2 linked regions of the Nothobranchius furzeri genome follow. The protein of the gene in region 1 purifies or fractionates together with the protein of each later gene. This does not show direct contact. Links are inferred from orthologs where the notes say so. Each region holds a gene or a part of one and is shown on either strand. Other genes may lie near its edges.

Region 1 (10,572 bases):
TGCTTTAATTCTTCATGGCACTGATTCAACTAGCTGTTAAATGGCACAACTTTAACATTTTCAGTTCTGAATCTCCCTTTCAACCACATCCCAAAGATTCTGGGATCTGGTGATTTTGGGAGTTTTTAGTGAACCCCAAACTCTTGTTAAATAAATCACTTTCAGATTGTTGGAGCCATGGACGTAGGTTTATTTTTTTGGGGGGGGGGGGGGCGCTTTATTTTTTTTCAAAGTCATTTTTTTTTTTGTCCCCTGCACTTTTTACCATCCAAAGACAATATTATGCTACATGGACACTGGTTGAACACTAGGACCAAGCAGAAAACAACTGCTTGTGTTGAAGCCCTTTTCATATTGCATATTACATATTTTTGTATACTTACTGTAAAGGACCAACCCCCTCCCCTCTCCTTGCCCGTTTCGCATGCCGATCTTGCCCCCCCACTTCTAAAGTCAAAATTACACGTCCGTGGTTTGAGCTTTGGGCCATGGTGCCTTATCCTGTTGGATGTGTTCATAAAGGGATGGGCATGGTCCACAACAATACTCTGGTAAGCTGTACCAGGGTCAGGTGGAGTTGAGGGGACCAAGAAAAACATCATCTGCCCATGTAGCATCATGAATGTCCTGTTTTTGACCTAAAGGTCATGATCTGCTGCAAGTTGTATTTTACTTTCCTTGGAGTTAATACGAAGTGTCACTTAATCCCTGCAATAAAAAGTTCCGATGTTCTGGTTAAAATATTCAAAGATCCATCAGATTTCATATTTCTATGGAATCTCACATTTTATGGTTCATAAAGTAAGATGCAAACTACCCATCCTTTACACCCATTACACTAACACCCCCCCCCCCCCCCACCCAGAGCTGTTGATACAAAGCACAAATGAATAAGAAGAAGAATGAAATAAAAAATAAATTATAAATAAATAAAAAATTAATAATAAAATGAATAATTCCAGTTTCTTCTGGTCCAGCTTTAGTGAACTTGGTGTGATCATCTGCTCCTGGAATTCATCTGCTTCAAATTTCAGCAAGCAATGTGTTCGGTGATGGTATTGTACAGAAACTGCCTAATAAGTTATTCATTGCCTGTTTAGAACCTCTCTGGCCATTGTCTATTGACCTCTAACATCAACAAGACTTGTTTGTCCAAACAAGTTCTCTTTTTTCCAATCATTCTTTACAGTTGTGTGTGAAAATTCTGGTAGATCTGCGATATTTGGAATGCTTTGAATTGGAGCCAACAACTAGGCCACATTCAGACTCATTTTAATAGCTTGTATTTGATATAGTCCCTTCTAGGGTTCTACAACCCCCCAAGGCACTTTACAACACATCCTTCATTCACCCATTCACACACACATTGGTGGTGATGATGAGCTACAGTGTAGTCACAGCTGCTCTGGGACACACTGAGAGAGGCAAGGCTGCCGAACACAGGCGCTGCCGGTCTCTCTGACCACAGAAGTGTCTTGCCCAAGGACACAACTGCCACAGACAGGGCTTGAATCTGCAGCCCTCCGGTTATGGGGTGGGCATTTAAAGCTTGGTTTATGCTTGACACATTCACTTTCCACGCGATGATGCGGCTCACGGCTGGAACGCGCTTCACAACTCGCAGTGTTTATGGTTTGTGCGGCTCGTCTCTGCGGTGAGCCAATATTCTCCCAAACTGAACGGGGCAGCATGGAGCTCTACGGCATGCATCCAACACTACACCATAGTAGAAGTAGAAATTACTGTTTACAACACGGCATTTCAGCATATTCAACGGTGTTCTCGTCTTTTCCGACAGTGCGAGCTATTTCTCTCCAAGAATTATTAACAACATGTTGATCACGGTGATCTCTGAGAGCCGAATCATACAAATGTCTGTGTTTACGAACCTCTGCTATACTAGTTCTTGCCGGTCCGCCATGTTTTTCCGCGTCCGACCGTCCGCGTGGTTAGAAGCATAGGCGTCATTTTAACCGGGGACGCCGGGGACATGTCCCCGGCAAAATTTGTGATTGGCAGCTGTGTCCCCCCTACTTTCAAAAAAGCCTGCCTTATTGTCCCCAGCAATTTTTAAACCCCACTCAAGTGTATGGTTATTGTCCCCAGCAATTCTGAAAACAAACTGACGCCCTTGGTTAGAAGATTTCCAAGGTGAGCGTTGCGGAGATCTTGGGCCGTGCGGAGACGCGGTGGAGGGGCGTGGTTGTTAAAATGACGCAAAATGACGCAACTTTTCCGCGCGGAGCCGTGCAGACCTCGCGGACGCGTCAAGCATAAACCAACCTTAACTCCTCTGCCATCATTCTTTCAACAAGTTGTATTCTCCCGTGCCTATATGATTTAAGTTGCTGCTATGTTGTTGGCAAATCAGATACTTCTGTTAACAAACAATTCAACTGGTGGGCCTAAGAGAGTGTGCGCACGCGCACGCACACACACACACACACACACACACACACACACACACACACACACACACACACACACACACATTTTTCTAAGGAAAACTGCATAATAACATTTAACCAAAGTCTCCCAATTTACAAAAATAAATTTTAAAATTAAATTTCTGAAGTTACCTCAATATTTAATAAACTGAGTTAAAATGAAAATGAAACAACCTACAAGATGCATGAGTTTGATAAGACGCGTGAATTAATTTGCATTAACCTCAGCAATGTGGCTTAAGTACACACAATGATATGAGCAGAAGAAAATCTTATGAGACTGTTGTACACAAGTCAATTAAAAGTGTGAGACCTCTGAACTGAGATAAGAAGCAATGTTCTAGAGAAGTTTATTTGACACCCAAAGCAACGCCTGACAGAGCTCAGATAAACATATGTTTATGACTCCTGCACATAATAGTTGTTTGAACTCAACACTGGGTTCACCAGCTTGTATTTCCTCCAACATATGACCTCTTCCAGACCATGATCTCCTGACGCCGGCCCAGCTGGACTTAGAAGAGCATCCGTTTGGGTTTGAGATTCATATTAAATAATACATTTAATAAGAGTAAATTTTCTTTTTCTGGTTTAAAAACTTGAACTGCGTGACAACTTTCTGAAGCTGCAGACTGACTTTTGCTCAGGTGTGACCAAAAGGTGGCAGTGTTGAGTTTTATATAGGAACGTGCAGCTAGGCATGATGAACCTCTCCGGTGCATGTTTTAATTTATAAACGACAAAGTCTGAGTTACAGCAGCACAGAATCGTTTAATTTTGTCACTTCTGTTTCAGACTGACTTCAAGGACTCTGAAACTACAGAGATGGAATGATTAAATGAAGTCAGAAGCACTTATTTAAATGTATTATTATCTAAGAGGAAACTAGTGAAAATAGGCTTACATGGAGTTGGAAAATAAATGATGGTTCATGTTTAAACATATCATCGATCTATCTATCTATCATATATCATCTATCTATCTATCTATCTATCTATCTATCTATCTATCTATCTATCTATCTATCTATCTATCTATCATCTATCTATCTATCTATCTATCTATCTATCTATCTATCTATCTATCTATCTATCTATCTATCTATCTATCTATCTATCTATCATCTATCTATCTATCTATCTATCTATCTATCTATCTATCTATCTATCTATCTATCTATCATCTATCTATCTATCTATCTATCTATCTATCTATCTATCTATCTATCTATCTATCTATCTATCTATCTATCTATCTTCTATCATCTATCTATCTATCTATCTATCTATCTATCTATCTATCTATCTATCTATCTATCTATCTATCTATCTATCTATCTATCTATCTATCTATCTATCTATCTATCTATCTATCTATCTATCTATCATCTATCTATCTATCATCTATCTATCTATCTATCTATCTATCATCTATCTATCTATCTATCTATCTATCTATCTATCTATCTATCTATCTATCTATCTATCTATCTATCTATCTATCTATCTATCTATCTATCTATCTATCTATCTATCTATCTATCTACCATCATCATCATCTATCTATCATCTTTTTCTCTCAATTGCGAAAAGTTTTGTCCCGGGAATTTACGCCCGCGGCGCGCGCTGTTTCATTAATATTATTTTTTTAATAAATAATAATTAATGTTCTTAAACTATAATAACTGAGTGTTTATTATAATAAACATTTAGCTGAGTGCGGCAGCGCAGCCCGTTTCCAGCTGACAGTCAGCTGGCCGCTTCTGACAGTTGAGAAAAGTTTCAGTGCGCGTCTGATATGTTAATTAGCTCTTCCAAGTGTGCGACCCTATTGGCTCTTCGTCCGAGTCGATTTCCCTTTTCCAGCCTGACGTCAGGGCAGCTACAATCCTCTTAAACTCATCTGCTCTGTGATCCCTCTTAAAAAATCGTCCCACCAGTCAGCGGCTTCTGAACGGAGCGAGGCTGCGTCCCACTGCCCCGCTCCTCGGTTCGTCTCCGCGTAACGCGCTCCTGAAGAAGCCGGTAAAGTGTTAAATGTTTGAAAGACCAAACCGCCGCGGTTCACATGCTGAAAAAGGATTCCGCTGCTCGTGCGCGCGGCACTGCTGTGTCTGTGCAATAGACTCTGCAAAAGAAAAACTACTCTCACACGCCTGCACGTCCGGGACGCTGAAACGCTCATTTTTCAGTTTCAAGACAAACGCTTAAAAATCAAACTGGCTCACGTTCTTCCAAACCAGCCCAGTTTGACAGCTGCTCTTCAGCCCGCTTGGAGGACTGTCAGCAGCAGCAAGAGGATGGCATCAGAGCTGGCAATGAGCAACTCCGACCTGCCCACCAGTCCCTTGGCCATGGAATATGTTAATGACTTCGATCTGATGAAGTTTGAAGTGAAAAAGGAGCCGGTGGAGCCCGATCGCAACATCAGCCAGTGCAGTCGCCTTATCGCCGGGGGATCCTTGTCTTCCACCCCGATGAGCACGCCTTGCAGCTCGGTCCCCCCTTCCCCAAGCTTCTCGGCGCCCAGCCCGGGCTCCGGGAGCGAGCAGAAGACACACATAGAGGACTTCTACTGGATGTCCGGTTATCAACAGCAGTTGAATCCAGAGGCGCTGGGCTTCAGCCCCGAGGACGCAGTCGAAGCGCTGATCAACAGCACCCACCAGCTCCAGTCCTTCGATGGCTACGCAAGAGGCCAGCAGTTTGCTGGTGGAGCCGGAGCAGGAGGCACCATGGCCGGGGAAGAGATGGGGTCCGCCGCAGCCGTGGTGTCAGCCGTCATCGCCGCGGCAGCCGCTCAGAACGGAGCGCAGCACCACCACCACCACCATCATCACCACAGCAGCAGCCACCACCAGGCACCGGGCGTCCAGTCCAACGGCACCTCGGGGACAAATCACTCCCACATGCGCCTGGATGAGCGGTTTTCCGACGAGCAGCTGGTCACCATGTCCGTGCGGGAGCTCAACCGGCAGCTGCGGGGGGTCAGCAAGGAAGAAGTGATCAGACTGAAACAGAAGAGGAGGACCCTAAAGAACAGAGGCTACGCGCAGTCCTGCCGCTTCAAGCGGGTCCAGCAGCGGCACGTCCTGGAGGGAGAGAAGACGCAACTCCTGCAGCAGGTCGATCACCTAAAACAGGAGATCTCCAGGCTGGTCCGGGAGAGGGACGCGTACAAAGAAAAGTATGAGAAGCTCATCAGCACCGGCTTCAGAGAAAACGGGTCCAGTAGTGACAACAACCCTTCATCCCCGGAGTTTTTCATGTGAGTCTCGACGCTTACAAACCCCACTTAAAAAGTTTGCATTTCCAAACTTTTTTCATTTTCATTCATTTTTCTGGCCAAAATAGACCAAGACATAAATTGCCAACTTTTTTTCTTTTATTTTTATTATTTTCTACCCCTTTTCTTTTTTTAGTTTTTTTAAACATTTTTGGGAAAAACAACAATTTCCTCAATTCTTTAATTAATTTAGATTTGCCATCTGTTTCTGTTTTTTTAATGATTTTGAAGACGCACGTTGAGAAAACTTTCATCCCCTTTCTGCGCTCATCCGCAGCATACTTTTGGCGAGACCGTTTTCCCTCCCTCCCTTCACAGTTAACTGATTTTTTGAAAGTTTACCCAACTTCGTGCCGCAGTAAATGAAGCGCGCATGCAGGCACGAGGTTCCCCAACATGTCCTTTTTACACCAGCATTCTGTTAAATCCGTGTAAAACTGCAACAGTGACTGTTAGTTTTTTATTATTTTGTATGATTTTTTCTTTTTGTTGCCATACTTTGGAGGATCGTACACCATGCATTTTGACGCCACCTCATCTCATGCTTGTTATTGTGTTGATCAACAACAACAAAAGACACTGTGTTCATTACCAAACATTGTTTTTCTTTTTTATTATAAGAGATGTGTTATTGGACTGCCCTGCATGCTGGACATGTATGGTTTTCTTTTCTTTTTGTGCTTTGAAGATGTCGGTTTTGTGTTGTCGGACTCCAGCATGGCATTCATAATCATGTTTTTGGCCTTCTCACTTTTTTGGACCAAAAAAAAGTGACAGGACTTCCCACCCACCCCCTCCTTTAGCAATCTATACAAGTGCATTTCAGCTGTGTTGAAGTGCTCCACCATTTAGGCTGAATGCGCTCAGCGTTCCTCATGGAACTTTTTTGTCAGCGCGGATCCTGCTGCAAAAGAGGGGCAAAGGAAAAAAATGATTATGAAAAACTCATATTTTTATCCCCTGGATGTCTAGTCTGTTGCTTTAAGCCTTTGTTGTTATTTAAATACATACCATTGTGCATTTTTTAAAACATTTGAATATTTTAAGCGTAATTTAAGGACAAAGTTTTATCATCTAAGTTGCAAACGTGCTGCAGGTTCAACTAGATTAGTGCTGTACATTTTAAACATGCATTTAATTAAAAATTGGCTCGGCTCCAATTTTGACATAGAAGTGTATATTATTGTCCAGTGCATAAACAGTGCTTTTTTTACTTGCAGCATGTGCTTGTAAACCTCTGCTCTGCAGGTCTCCACCTCATATTTAAAGTTTGTGGTTCAAAAATATTAAGAATTATAATGAAAATAAAGGAAATGATGGAATAGGAGAAAATCTTCGCTGGAGGTGAAGTTTTTAAATTATTATTGTTATTTTATATTTTGGAGGGGGTGTTAATTCATTAACCTGACAAACTGAAATGCACTAAAATTCTCCTCTCATATTGTTGAAGTTTTGGGGGTAAATCCTCCCATAAAGATACGTTTGGCATTACAATCGTAAAGTTTTCAAAGATTTAAGGGTGAATTCAGAGGAAACTGGCATGAAGCAATAAGTAATTATTATTATAATCAATGATGTCTGGACATTGTTAGATCTTCAGGGATTGTCGCCCTGCATGTACAAAATGAGAGTTACCGTTCGCTAAAGACTGTTGAGGATGTGTTCATTTATCTTTCATCTTATAAATAGTATATAAATATAAATATTTTGCTGTGCAAAATTATACCACTCACTAACCATATGTGATGTTCATATGTGTTTTTTTTCATTTCATACAATTAAATGATATGCAATACATGTTTCTCATTTTCTTTTTTGTGTTTGTGGTTAAAGCGGCACTGTCAAATATAAAAACCGGTCAACCCAATGAGCAATCTGCTCAAGCTGAAACTGGAAAGCTTTGGGAGGCAGCGAGACGTTGTGATTTTAGCACATTATTTACTGAATGTTTCCCTTTTCATCTTTCTCTCACCAGACAAATATGATTTATGAGCATCTATTTTATCTTTTGTTCTGATTTCTCAACCAAATTATTACATTAAGTTACATTTTGACTTCCAAGCTTTGTTTTAAACTTATAAAGTGCATCCTAAAGGGTGTTTTTAAATATATTTTATGGTTATATTTGCATGATGTCCACTTCACTGTCCACTTTGGCCTGTGGTTTGTCCTTTTCATCCACTTTATGCTCGTGTGTGAGCCTGCATGCATGTGTGTTCTATTTAATATGTGTGAAAGTGTGTGTTTCCATGGATGACAGTAGATTTTGATTGCATCTATTTCTTTATGTGGATTTCTTGTTGTTTTGCATGTTTCAAATTTGTACCTCCCCATTTGCTCTTTCTCTGTTTCCCTGGTGTGTTTGTGTGCGGTGTGCCCGTTGTCTGTCCTCTTCTTTTTTTATTCCAAACGGCTTGTGCTCACTGTTATTAGCATGTCAACATTTGGCGTTCCCTGTTCTTCTCAGCCTTATTCTGCTCGTCAGTGGGTCTGGATGTTATTCCTGAGCAGGCGTGCTTTTGGTCGATGGGGAGCAAAGAGGGCAAAACCACGAGAAGCATGTGAGGGGGCGATGGCGAGGGTACAAGTCAGCCACTGTGGAGAGATTCGGCAGCTCTTTAGCAAATCTTGCATTTCAGCTTTTAGACATCTCATGTGCTGCTACTTCACTGCACTGGTGTGTTCAGTGAAACCTCCACTTTTGCGAGCGAAAGTGAAACATAAGTTCAATGTTTCAGAGCAAGTTGTTGAAACAGGAAGAGATGTGTGCCAAAACACACACGTTAAATAAAAGATTTGCAGAGGACAGATCTAATCTGGGTTTGTCAGCTTTTTGTAGTTAAGCCACAACGGCTGTGAGAAAAGGATACTCCAAAAGGACACCTCTTATTAAAGCACACAGTGTTAGGGTTGAATGTGATCTGCTCTTTGTTACATTTCAATGCTTTTCACCTTCAGTTACACACAACAGATGAATAAATTAAAGCAACAAAATACATAATCTGCACCATCTGCACTTGATGATGCAGCTGCACAGCTGTCTCGCTCTCCAAATGGAAAAAAAACCTAAAATAAAAACTAGAAAAAGGGATTTTTAACCCACCACTTGTATCTCATCTGAGGTGGGTGTGCTGCTTCTGCTGCCGTGGTGGCTGATCCGCCCCGAGTCAGTGGAGAGACTAAGACAATAGACGGTCTTGGGCTGAATTAAATGATTTTGCTGATGATTAATAGCGGTGTGGGCTGCTGGCTCCTGCGATGTAGAGATGATAAATCGTGAGTGCAGCTCCGTGCAGCTGTGCCCGTTTTGGGTCTTAGCATGCACACACCATGCAATTTACAACCAAGCTGCTCTCCTTCTTTCTCAATTTATCTAATTACATCTATTTGATCTGAGCAGTAGCACTGCTACATTTTGATACTAACCAAAACATTGTGCTGGATTTCTTCAGGGAGGATAACTGGGTGTGGCTATTTTAGATCCTAAAAGAAGTTTATCTAAAACAGAAGATTAATTCTTCACCTATTGTTTTACAGTAAATGAGAGAAACAAATTAGCTTTTGAAGTTCTTTGAGTGGGATTTAAAATAAAATGGAAATGTTTCAAAGGATGGAACGTGCATTGGAACTAACTCCACTCACCAGCCAACAAGCAAAAACACAAACTTTTTAAGTGGTCTGGCAAAATGAAACTCGTTTCATAGACTGGTTTTCATTTTACGTCTCTTTGTACAAATATGTGACTCTGTGACACTTGAGTGAAGACAGACCTAATTTTAACAAAAGAAGAAGAAGAAGAAAGGGGAAAACAAAAGAAAAACAGGATGCTGCCGCTCATATATGTGGCACCAGTGCACAATGGTTACTTAAGTGACAAATTGATCGATCTTCCAGAGATGCACCCATGTGGAACTTCAGCTCCATGCAGGCTGACTTTGTAAGAAGCAGCACGTTGTTCACTCAAGTAGCAGCATGCCAGCTGACAGATCAGAAATGAGAGGCTGCTGGGAGATCTGAATAGTTCCAGGCTTTAGATGGCGCCGGAGGCCGGGCTGGAGAGGAGGATCTTCGTCTTTCCGTTTGTCTTTGATTCTGTACAAGCCGAGTAAAAAGGTTGCGTTGGAGTTTCTTACACATGCATGTGTTAGAAATGAGCATATGAGCACCTTGGCATGCGTCTCTCTTTTGGAGAAGAGGATGAGCAGAGGTCAGAAGTTACAGTGCACAAGGCTGCTTTCAAAGTCATTAGAGTAATCCTTGCCCTGGGGAGCTCATGCTCATTTCCTCTGCCCAGACTCCCACCGAATGAGCTACACGTGCACATCCGGCATGGCACAGTTCACAGCAAATTCAAATACTCACACTTTTTTAATCATTTCTTGTATTTCACTGATTTCTTCTGTCGTAACACATTTATTTTTTCATTTAACACTCCAAGTTTTATGTTGATGACCATTCCTTTTAGGAGACTGATTTAACTTTTTAAAGGCACATGCACATGGTAAGTGTTAAGAAGACAAAAAAGGTGTTCAAACATAGAGTGCAGCCCAAATGTTTCTTTAGAGCTTTCAAACATGGCCGAGGAGGCACCAGACGACAAGATTTGTTTCATGCTGCCAAATATGCTTCTTTTACATCACATTGCTCTACAGCAGAAAGCCTGAGTCAGTGTTAAGTGTTAAAATGGCAATTCCTGAAAATTGAAGATAATTTAAGGCAGTCATGAAGAACAATTACTCCATTTTAATTAAAATCATACAGGTGTGTAATCTGAAAGAAAAGTTAAAAAAAATAAATATTTATTTTACTTCACTTGTATTTGGACAAAAAATGAGTTTCT
Region 2 (10,472 bases), on another chromosome or scaffold:
GGACACACCGGTCGCCGAAGCGCCGGGAGGCGAAGCGCTCACGAAATTCGGCCACTGCTCCTCAGTTCAGACCTGACGCTTCTTTCTCTGCTCCTCTGCTCCGGTCGAGGCACGCCTCGTAGTTTTTCTTTTAACCACTTGGTGTCCTCCATTTCCTCTCTGCCTTTTCTCTGCTCTTTTCCTCTACACCCCCCTCCCCCTTGCTGTTTGTGTGTGTATGTGTGTGTGAACCTATGGTGTGAACCAGTTGTTAATAGCTGTCCTACGACTTTCTGCCTCTCTGTCCTGTTTGCTCCATCCGGTTGAAAGACACCCAAAACCACACCCCCTTCACGTGGTCAAACACACAAGTTCGCTGTGTGTGTGTGTGTGTGTGTGTGGTTTTTATGCAGTGTCTGTTTACGAACACATTTGACTATCGTGGAATTGTATTTTGAAATGCTTTATTTTGTTAAATTTACCGGCCTGCCTCTTATGTCTAGGTTTGACTTCCTGCCAGAATTGACGCGGTTCACCCGCGGCTCGCGAAAAAAATAGAGCAGACGCCGAAACGATCGCTGCACGGCACGAGCTAGAGCACCGGTGCGTGGCGCTTCGGCGGCCCATGTGGTCTATAGAATAGGATAACAAGGGCGCCGAATGAAGGCGGCCCCAATTTCGCGGCGCTTCGGCGGCTGGTGTGTCCCCGGTGTAAGGAAGGTTAAGTTAAATGCATTTTTAGTGAAAACAAGCCTAATGTTAACACAGAGTGATCATAACGTCACCGCGGTGAAGTTAGTTGGACTTCGGTTAGCTGTGTTTCGAGGACTCGTGCACGAGAGCAGTGGGTCGCCTGGGGGCCGTCAACAAATTTCTAGTCATTCCAAAAAAGAGGTAAAAAAATCAAAAGCTTCCAGATTAACTGATTAACTCATTCACTGCCAGCCGTTTCCTGATCAGAAAAGCCCTTCGATGCAGCATTTTTACAGTTTTTTTTTAAGAGTCACAGAACGTTGCGCGCTAGGATGACGTCAACGCCAAAACAACCAAAACAAAGCGGAGACTCACCTCTTACATCTGGAAGAATCTGCGAGTTTTGAGCGTTATCCGTTCTTTTGTAATCCGTTGTTGAATTGTGATCTGTAGAAGCTTTTCCAGTTCGTGCCTCACTTTTTTACAGCAGCGGCCCAAAGTGATCTCCCAACACATGGATGTTCTGCTTCCTGATCACGTGACGTGTGACATATGCGGATGAAGATCGGCTTTAGAGCGGAGATTTTTGTTCTGACGGTGCGGGGGCTCGTCCGACGCCCACACCGTAACAAAGTGCAAATGACGACTTAAGTCGTCATTTGCAGTTAATGAGTTAAATGACTCAATCGATTCTCAGTTGTGTTACTGAACTAAATCAACAAGACACAACACTTTTTTTTTTACATATTTCACACAATCTAACAATTTTTAATCAGATTTTCATTTAAATAAAGTGATTTTCTTCAATATCTTCAAGGTAAATTTATCTAAATACTCTAAACCAATTCCCAATTCTGTTACTAAAACATCACAGTTTAAAACATTCCTAGAGGAAATTCTGTAAAGGTTACCGACAAATGTGACCAGTTTTATTAGTTTGCATGGATGATAAATTAGAAAATGAGCATGCTTTGATTTTATCTTTTAATGGCTTTAACTTCTACCACCAATAGACACACTCGTCAATGTTTGTCTCCTTTATTATGAGGAAATCCTCCATTGGAATAAACTTTTTAAATCAGTTGCCAGTCCGCTGATGGAAATGAAACTTTTCTGTTGCTTTTTTCACTGTAATCATTTTCTGTTGTTCCGCAGATTCTAGTCTCTTTTCTGAAAGCAGAGAGGATTTAGTTCAAGTTGATTTCTTTGGTTGTTTTTGTAAAATTTAAAGAATTCTCTGCTTCCCTGAATGTTTGCATTACACAGACGGGCCTCTCTTTTCCGAACACCTGCATGTTTCCTGACTCCTGGCCAGCTGCTGCTTCTGTGCAGAGCTTTTATTACACAGATGTCTGTTTTTCTAAGATCAGCATACCCCTCGCTGTTCTCTAATGTGGTGTGTTGTGCTAATGTATTTGTGCACACGCTCGCAGACAGGGTGTCAGAAATAAAACAGACGGCAGATTGCAGCACTCAGCGCTGTAATGAGTCCTTGTTCATCTGTCTGCAGCCATTACCCTTCAGCCGGACTAGTTCTGCTGCTCCTTCATATATCAGGACTCGGTCCACTTCCTCTGGTGTTTTTATGTCTTCAACTCTCTGCTCTCAGACGGAGAGGACAATGACAGAGCTGGAGATTGCTGTAAACCAGCGTGTGGGGGAGTGGGAGGTGATCCAGGAGTCGGGTACCACCCTGAAGCCCCTGTTTGGCCCCGGCCTGACTGGGATGAGGAATCTGGGGAACAGCTGCTACCTCAACTCCGTCATGCAAGTGCTCTTCACCATTCCAGACTTCCAGAGCAAGTAAGTGCCTCACCTTTAAAAAATAAATGCTGTTTTTGTTTACAATTTTCATCAATCTGTCTCTGAAGTGTCACTAATGTTACCATATAATCCTTAAAGATGGTAGAAGCAGGATGGATTACCCAAGTGTTTCACACACTTCTGTTCTCGCAGGTACGTGTCTAACTTTGACAAGATCATCAACGATGCGCCGAGCGACCCGACCCAGGACTTCAAAACTCAAGTGTGAGTTTCCTCGTTATGCAAACAAAGCTCTGAGTTCACCACAAGATGCCTGAGAGAGCGGTGCATGAGGTCTCCACACACCGTCTACCGGCTTTTAGAAAATTAAATGAAAGTTTAAAACGTTTCAGGTGGGATTTTTCAGCTTTCAATGTTTATCTCTAGAAACGTAGAGGTTATTTTTCAGAGGAAGAAACGTCTGCTTCTACTGTGGCTTGTTAAAGCTGCTTTCCGGAGTTTTCCCCTTTCAGAAATGATGAAGGATTTTTCAGAAATCCTGTAAAAGCGATTATCTCATCATGTACTGTGGTAAAATGTAAGCGATACGTCCTTTTGTTGTTGTTTTTTGCTAAGCACGCCCCTGCCCCGCATAGCCCCGTGCAATAGGAAACCGAGCGCCGACCAGAACTAGCTAATAACGTTAGACTACCGCTTACTTGCTTCAAATTTAAGGAATACCTCGGCTGATGCAGAGTTAATTAACTTTTCACGGTCAAGAAAGTCTCTAAAATATAAATATATGAGAACACAACATGACATGAGGATAACACTCGTAAAACTGCGTGTTTTAGCTCTGTTTGTCTGCTACAGAAGCACATTTATAAAAAGACACGTGAAGTCGCCATCTTAAACAGAGCAACAGATTTTTTGTGTGATATGCTTGTCAGCCACTAGATGGTGCCATCAGATAAAATGTTTCTTTATTTATGGAAGTTTCAGGTACCAAACATTTTTTCTTGAATATAAAAAAAAAACGACTAAATATTTGCGCTGCCCTGGGAGGTGAATGCAGTTTATGCTGATCATTTAAAGGTGTGGAACACTGAAAAAAATTTTTTTTGATTGTTTCTGATTCTAACGGGTCACTCTTGAGATTTTTATGCAGGCTGAACATGAAAATAGTCTCCTACACCTACCTCCTGCATTAGCTTCTGATAGAAAACAGACGGTGAAACTCTAGGATTAGAAAATCCTGACAGATTTACGTCACCCTGTCACTTTAACATTCGTGAACTCGCCCATCTTGGCTTACAACGGGGAAGGCTGTTGTTGGTTTAGCGTCCAGGAAACCGCAGAGAACGTCTTAGCTAGTAGAAGCTAACCATTAGCATTAGCGAATCCACCACACAGCAGAACTCCTCCAGGTTTGTGTTATTTGTGGAGATAAAACATCAACGTTGCAAGTGAATGGTATAGTTACGTTGCTGTTAGCCAATCAGAGAAGAGATTTATCAGGAAATAAGACTAAACCCTGCTGTCTGAAGCTCAGCTGTGATGTGGATCACTGCTAGTTTCTGGAAATGGTGCTCCGGTGTTTTTAGCCCCCTGCCCGTGTACGACTTACGAGGCATTAATTCCTACTGCAGACAACTGCTAATGTGTTGATTAAACAAGTGTGCCACACCTTTAAAGAGTAACGGGCTTCTAATTAAACATACATTTGGATTGGTTTCTCTTTCTATCAGATTATTTGAGCCTTGAAGCTACAATTTCTAACATGATTTACTAGAAACGTTATTTGTTTGTTTCTGCTGAATTACTCTGGGATGCAGCTTTATGCTGTATTATTTTAAACTATTTCTGCTTTGTTGCATTATTGACAAGCCTTTTTAAATTCTCTACAGACAAACTATCCCTCGGGAGTTCGCTTTCACTGTATTTGGCACAAGCAAAGCCTCATTAAGGCTTCTACTCAAAACCTCCTTTATGAGGTTTCCTGGCTGTTCGTTGATGCTAGCTTTGTTTGTTTGTTCTCCAGAGCCAAACTGGGTTATGGTCTGCTGTCGGGAGAGTACTCCAAACCAGCACCGGACCCCGGCGATGAAAACGGTGCCTCTGAACCCAGGGTAGGAAGTAGGCGGTGGAAGAGAAACCCAAAGCTGCTCGTTCCCTCTCAGACTGAACTAATGCTAGCTCTCCCCGTTGATGCTTTTGCTGCAGGGAGACCAAATCGGAATAGCACCGCAAATGTTTAAAGCACTCGTTGGCCGAGGCCACCCTGAGTTTTCCACCAACCGACAACAGGATGCTCAGGAGTTTCTATTGCACTTCATAAACATGGTGGAGGTAAAGCTGCATGTGTTTTCTCTGGTTAGTCCTCAGCTGGCTTCTCTTTAAACTAGCATGCTTTTCTTTTCCCTACAGAGGAACTGTCGCTCTGGGTCCAATCCATCTGAAGCTTTCAGGTTTCTGGTGGAGGAGAAGATCGTTTGTCAGCAGTCGCAAAAAGCCAAGTACACACAGCGGGTGGACTACATCGTGCAGCTGCCTGTGCCCATGGATCAGGCCACCAATACAGGTGTGGAGCTGATGGGCCTTTAATCCTGAAGCTTGTTGTTTGTTTATCATTTTAATGATTTTTTGAAAACCTAAATAACAGAGGAGCTTCAGGAGGCGGAGCGCCGTCGGGAGGAGGGTGACCTATTAGCACCAACGGTGCGTGCACAGATCCCGTTCTCCGCCTGCATGGCGGCTCTCAGCGAACCGGAAATACTCACCGACTTCTGGAGCTCGGCGGTGCAAGCCAAGACTTCTGCTACCAAGTGAGCCGAGTGATAGCCTCACTCCGACTGAAACAGGTTTTAGAACGTGTTTCCTGATCCCGTTGATCTCGTTTGTCAGAACAACCCGCTTTGCCTCGTTCCCCAACCACCTGGTAATCCAGATTAAGAAGTTCACCTTTGGCCTTGACTGGGTGCCTAAAAAACTGGGTGAGCAGTGATGTCTTTTTGTGATTTGTGTCGGAATGTTGCCCACCGCTTAAAGAAAATGACAAAGATGGATATGTTTGGTTGAAATTGGAAGACTGAAATGCTGATTGGTTTTATTTCTTCTTGACAGATGTGAGCATCGACGTTCCCGATACTCTAGATCTGAGTGCTCTGCGCGCAACCGGTCAGCAGCCAGGGGAGGAGCTTTTACCAGAGGTGGCCCCGCCCCCACTCATGACCCCAGATACGGAGGTTAAAGGTATCCTGGGTTTCCCTGGCAACGAGGAGGACGACTCGCTCTACTCCCCACTGCTGTGTCAGTCTGTCTGTCTTTTCTGCTCCTTCTCTGACGCGTTTGTCCACATTCGTCTCCTTCTGTTCCTTTTTTCTGTTTTCACGAGTCCGTCCGTTGCCTTTTTGGTTCTCTTCATGATGTGACACAATTTGATATTGAAGTTTAGAAGCCGTATATTAATGTAGCACCAGTTAAAAATCTGTTTTACATCCTAGTAATTCATCTGTTTTACGTCATTCAGCTCCAGTCCTCGACGACTCGACTGTGTCCCAGTTGTGTGAAATGGGATTCCCACTAGAGGCCTGCAGGAAAGCGGTGTATTACACTGGAAACACTGGAATTGATGCTGCCATGAACTGGATCATGAGCCACATGGATGATCCGGGTGTGTGGAAAGTCAGGATTTACCAGGCAGTACTCCAACTGAGCGTTCCTGTGTCTTTATGGTTGCATCTTCTGATTGTCCGCAGACTTCTCAGCCCCCCTGGTGTTGCCCGGCAGCAGCACTGGACCCGGGACCACTCCCACCGAGAGTCTGTCTGAGGAGCACCTGGCAACAATCGTCTCAATGGGCTTCAGTCGAGATCAGGCCACCAAAGCTCTCCGAGCAACAGTTAGAGTCGAACTTTATTACTCCGTCACTCATAAACGCCGTATTCTATGTTAAAAGGAGCGGCCGTGGTTGAATGGGGAGAAAAGTTTCCGATATGAACTTTTGTTTTGTCTTTGTCACAGAGTAACATCCTGGACCGTGCAGTGGACTGGATCTTTTCTCACATGGATGATCTGGAGTCCATGGACGTGTCTGAAGGTGGTCGCTCAGCTGCAGAGAGCGAAGGTGGCAGGGATCCTCCACCTGGACCTCGTGTCCGGGACGGACCAGGCAGTGAGTTCAGAAGTTATAGGCTCTACTCAGTCTGGCTGTGAATGAGAACCATACATCTCTATTAGACAAACGTTTGTTTCTAGTGGTTCTGGTTCAAAGTAACTCTGGTGGTCATCTTTATCCAGAATACGAGCTTTTTGCATTCATCAGCCACATGGGGACGAGCACCATGTGTGGCCACTACGTCTGTCACATCAAGAAGGACCAGCAGTAAGTGTTTCTCACACGTTGCTTCTGCCATGTGGGTCTCTACTGCCTCTATAAAAACACCTGATGTGAAAAACCTGCCCATCCGTTTTCGATCAGTCTTTGGTTTTTAGGAATTATGTGCCTGAAACGAGCCGTTTCAAAAAAATCCCCGTTTGTGATGTCACAAACAAGGAAATTAACGTAGAACCACCTCTCACGTGCAATCTAGAGCCGCTGCTGGAGGAGCAGTGGCTCTAATCTGAGCCTTTCCTGGATATTAGAGCTTTTCAGATTAAAGCAACCCGAATGTGCGATGGGTGGGCGTGGCCCACTCCAGGTTCTTTATTTATTTATTTTTTTAAGTGACAGAGCCCTGAACATTTCATTTGAATCACATTAGTTTATTTTTTAAGTGAAACAAAAAGCCAAAAGAAAAAAATGCTTATTTAATGTATTACATGGTTAATTTACCCAATAGAAACAAGGAAATGCAAGCCAATAAGTAAAAATGTTATTGTTAAAGCGTCCCAGCAGGGGGCGCCATAGCCCCACCTCTCGAGCTGCTTTATGTTCTGAACATCACATATGAATATAGACGTTTTAGACATTTTATGTACCCAAATAAACAATATTCATGTAAAAAGAATGATTTTGTGTGTTAAGCTGCGTCGTGTCTCTCTTTTATTCATAGATGGGTCATCTTCAACGATCAGAAGGTTTGCGCTTCAGAGAAGCCTCCCAAAGACCTGGGATATCTTTACTTCTATCGTAGAGTGGCCGAATGAGACGAGGAGGAGGTGATGCCTTCAAACACGCTACAGCAAGCTCTTTAACGCCCTGGCCTGCTTCTCAACTGACAAACATGTAAATAAACCTCTCCGATTGCCTATACACAGTTAAATAAATTGGTGTAAATGTACAGATAAAGGTGTTTGGGGGGTTCTGCTGTTTCTTTTTGATTTACTGATCGCAAACCACAGGCTCAGAGTCTACCCGCCGACTATCTGAGAGCTACTGAAGCATGTAACACGGGCTGTAATCCGAAATATATTCAGAGAATTAGAAAAGTCAGCTTCAGGGAACATCCTCCAAACATCTGAGGGACTAAGATGGCAGCGTTATAGGTTGTTTTTTTTTTTTTACCCATAATTGGTAAGTTTACGCAACTGTTGATGCTAATTGACCCCTGACTATTGATCTGTTTCCACTGCCATCAGTAGTCACTGCCCTAATGTGTTTAGGAGTGCTGTGGTCAGGCCCCTCTTGTTTTACTTGATATCTGCAGCTTCGTGTCACCACGTAACCCAAACACAGCATCCTGTACCGGTCCGAGTGCAGAGATATAACAACCCACCGTTAGAAAGAAGAGAAAAAAGCGAAAACTTCAAAGTTTATCAGGAAAAACACCGAATCCACATGTTTTCCTCAAGTTTGGTGGGGGTGATACCCGGGTGACTCGTGTTTTATTTTAATTTTAAAGACAAGTGCTTTGTTACTTCTGCTGTGATAAATAAAGATTTCTCTGTCAAAATGAATTGTGGAGTTCACGTAATGCTTTTTCCTGCATCGTTACGATTTCTGGTTTATAATAAAGTGACTAGTCGGAGCATGTTTACCTGTTTTGTTAGCTTAAAAACACACAACTTCCTTGATGTGAGTGTAAGAGCAGCATACGGAATGCCAGGCCTCTGCTGCTGCTGCTGCTGCAAAAAAAAAAAAAGCAGCAGCAGCAAACCCACATTGGCCTACAACTTTCCAAAGTGCTGGTTTGTCTTCAACACTCTTCCGCCTTCGACGCGTTTAACATCCTTACAGGCTTGTTTTTCGATGGCATGAAGCACTCCGAAGCTCTGAAAAGGTTTTGACCCTCAGCAGCGGCACAAAAGTGACCCTATCGACTGGAAAATACGGTAAGCTCTCCATCTAAATGGCTAAAATTCAGATTTACATGCAAGCTGAAACTGGTTTCGATATTGCCTCCAAATCTGATGTTGTTGAGTTCAACCCACAATTTTAATACGAAGCGTTTAAAAACATGTTAAGGTTACTGTTTGGTGAATTTTTTTTTTTTTAGATTATTTAAATTGTAGTGAACCAAATAAAAGTGCATTTAAACCAATACAAAAAAAGAAACTTGCTAAATTTAGATTTTTGTTAAATTTTTTGGTGCGTCAACACTTAAGGTTTGAATTTAGTTTATTAAAAGGTGAATTTGAACGTTTTCTTATGTTATTTGCAACACAAGATGACAGAAAAGGCTCCAAAACTACAAAACATCATTCTCATCCATGTATTAAGTAATCTGTTACTAACTGATGTAGTTATATGACACGAAATCCAAAATTGGGGACTTTTGAAGTGATAAAATATAGAAATTATGTTTTAATTTCAGCTGTCTGAAAGTCAACCAATAAAAAACAAACTTGAATATCTAAATAAATGCGTATGTAAGATTTGTTTGACTATTTTTAAGATAAACTTTCTTCATTGGTAGAAAAACTCAATTCTTTTACTGTAAATGAATTTTTGATGAACGATCTGATGAAGTTGCAGCATCACGACTGGAAGCGTCCTAAAATGCATCATCGACTGAGTATTTAAATAAACATTTGTTCATTTATTTTTCCAAATCTAACATTTTCTCATTTCTACAAGTGTTTACATCAAAACGTAGCAATCTTTATCTGTTTTAACTCATTAAAGAGAGAAAAGCAGGAAGCAGAGAGGAGCTTGGTGGTTAGGGATCTCATGTTTTTGGGTAAAGCGCTCTTTCTCTCAGACGCCGTGATGATAAAATGGAAGTTCATCTCCACACCGTGCTGCACTGATGCTCCTTTATGGTTTACTTCAGTAAAAATTCCATTTGTGTTATTTTTTTTTTTTTACTTTCAGGTTCAAAACTCAGAATGAAGACAATTATCTGGTTTGGAGTTGGTGAGTAAATCAAAAAAATATATTTTTAAAGAGTTTTATGTTTTAATGCTATAAAATAAGTGTGATTTCTGTTTTTAAACTATAAAAATGTAAAGCGTTAGGGTTGTAATTAAGCATTAGATGTGTTTATTACATGATTCTACCTTATAAATAAGGAAAGTTTAATAAATGTGGCCCTCTCTCTCTAGTGCTGGGTGCTCTCGCTGCTGCAGGAAAGGTCTTCATCGCAGAAGTTGGGATGAAAAAGGCACTCGAGTGTGGAAACCGCAAGACCATAACAGACGTGCAGTGGAATCATGGTTCTGAACAGATTTGCAAGGTTGATGTTAAAACAGGTCGATCCATTAAAGGTAAATTCAAAAGTGTTTGAAATAAATCACTGTTATTTTCCTTATATCACTGTATAATACATTACTGTGTTTCTCCTCTGCATTAGGGAAAAGTAACATTTTAGAAAGGTCAAGGATAATACAAGACAAAAATCTGCAAATCCGTCCAGTAAAAGAAATGGATGCTGGACGCTTCACCTGTATAGCAGATGGTGCAACTTATGAGCACACACTTATTGTGGTCTCAGGTGAGTCTCAGACTCTGGATGGAGTAATGTAGGCCACATGAGGACTGGTTCTCTAGTATTCTCCAAAGCAGCATACTTTTTCCATTTTTGATCTTCATTATGAAGATCAACCACTGACTCAGTTTTCTCTGCAACGTGGATGTTTAATCTCCACAAATATCACAAGCATGGAGGAGTTCTGCT

The links.
Region 2: the proteins of mafa (region 1) and usp5 purify together in Homo sapiens (affinity purification with western blotting; 3 studies listed by BioGRID, with this or other methods). This does not show direct contact. The link is inferred for Nothobranchius furzeri from reciprocal best matches to the Homo sapiens genes MAF and USP5.

Annotation. Positions count from the first base shown.
Region 1 is NC_091749.1:56,429,260-56,439,831, forward strand, and holds the start of mafa (transcription factor Maf), read left to right. Parts: upstream 1-4,183; 5' UTR 4,184-4,746; coding exon 4,747-5,714; intron 5,715-10,572.
Region 2 is NC_091745.1:74,218,625-74,229,096, forward strand, and holds the end of usp5 (ubiquitin carboxyl-terminal hydrolase 5), read left to right. Parts: intron 1-2,281; coding exon 2,282-2,475; intron 2,476-2,628; coding exon 2,629-2,700; intron 2,701-4,456; coding exon 4,457-4,544; intron 4,545-4,638; coding exon 4,639-4,764; intron 4,765-4,842; coding exon 4,843-4,996; intron 4,997-5,077; coding exon 5,078-5,240; intron 5,241-5,319; coding exon 5,320-5,408; intron 5,409-5,538; coding exon 5,539-5,724; intron 5,725-5,944; coding exon 5,945-6,088; intron 6,089-6,173; coding exon 6,174-6,316; intron 6,317-6,438; coding exon 6,439-6,589; intron 6,590-6,714; coding exon 6,715-6,799; intron 6,800-7,469; coding exon 7,470-7,563; 3' UTR 7,564-8,313; downstream 8,314-10,472. Other genes in the region: uncharacterized protein cd4-2.2, read left to right, coding at 9,685-9,712, 9,901-10,062, 10,149-10,289. UniProt on the Homo sapiens protein: Deubiquitinating enzyme that participates in a wide range of cellular processes by specifically cleaving isopeptide bonds between ubiquitin and substrate proteins or ubiquitin itself.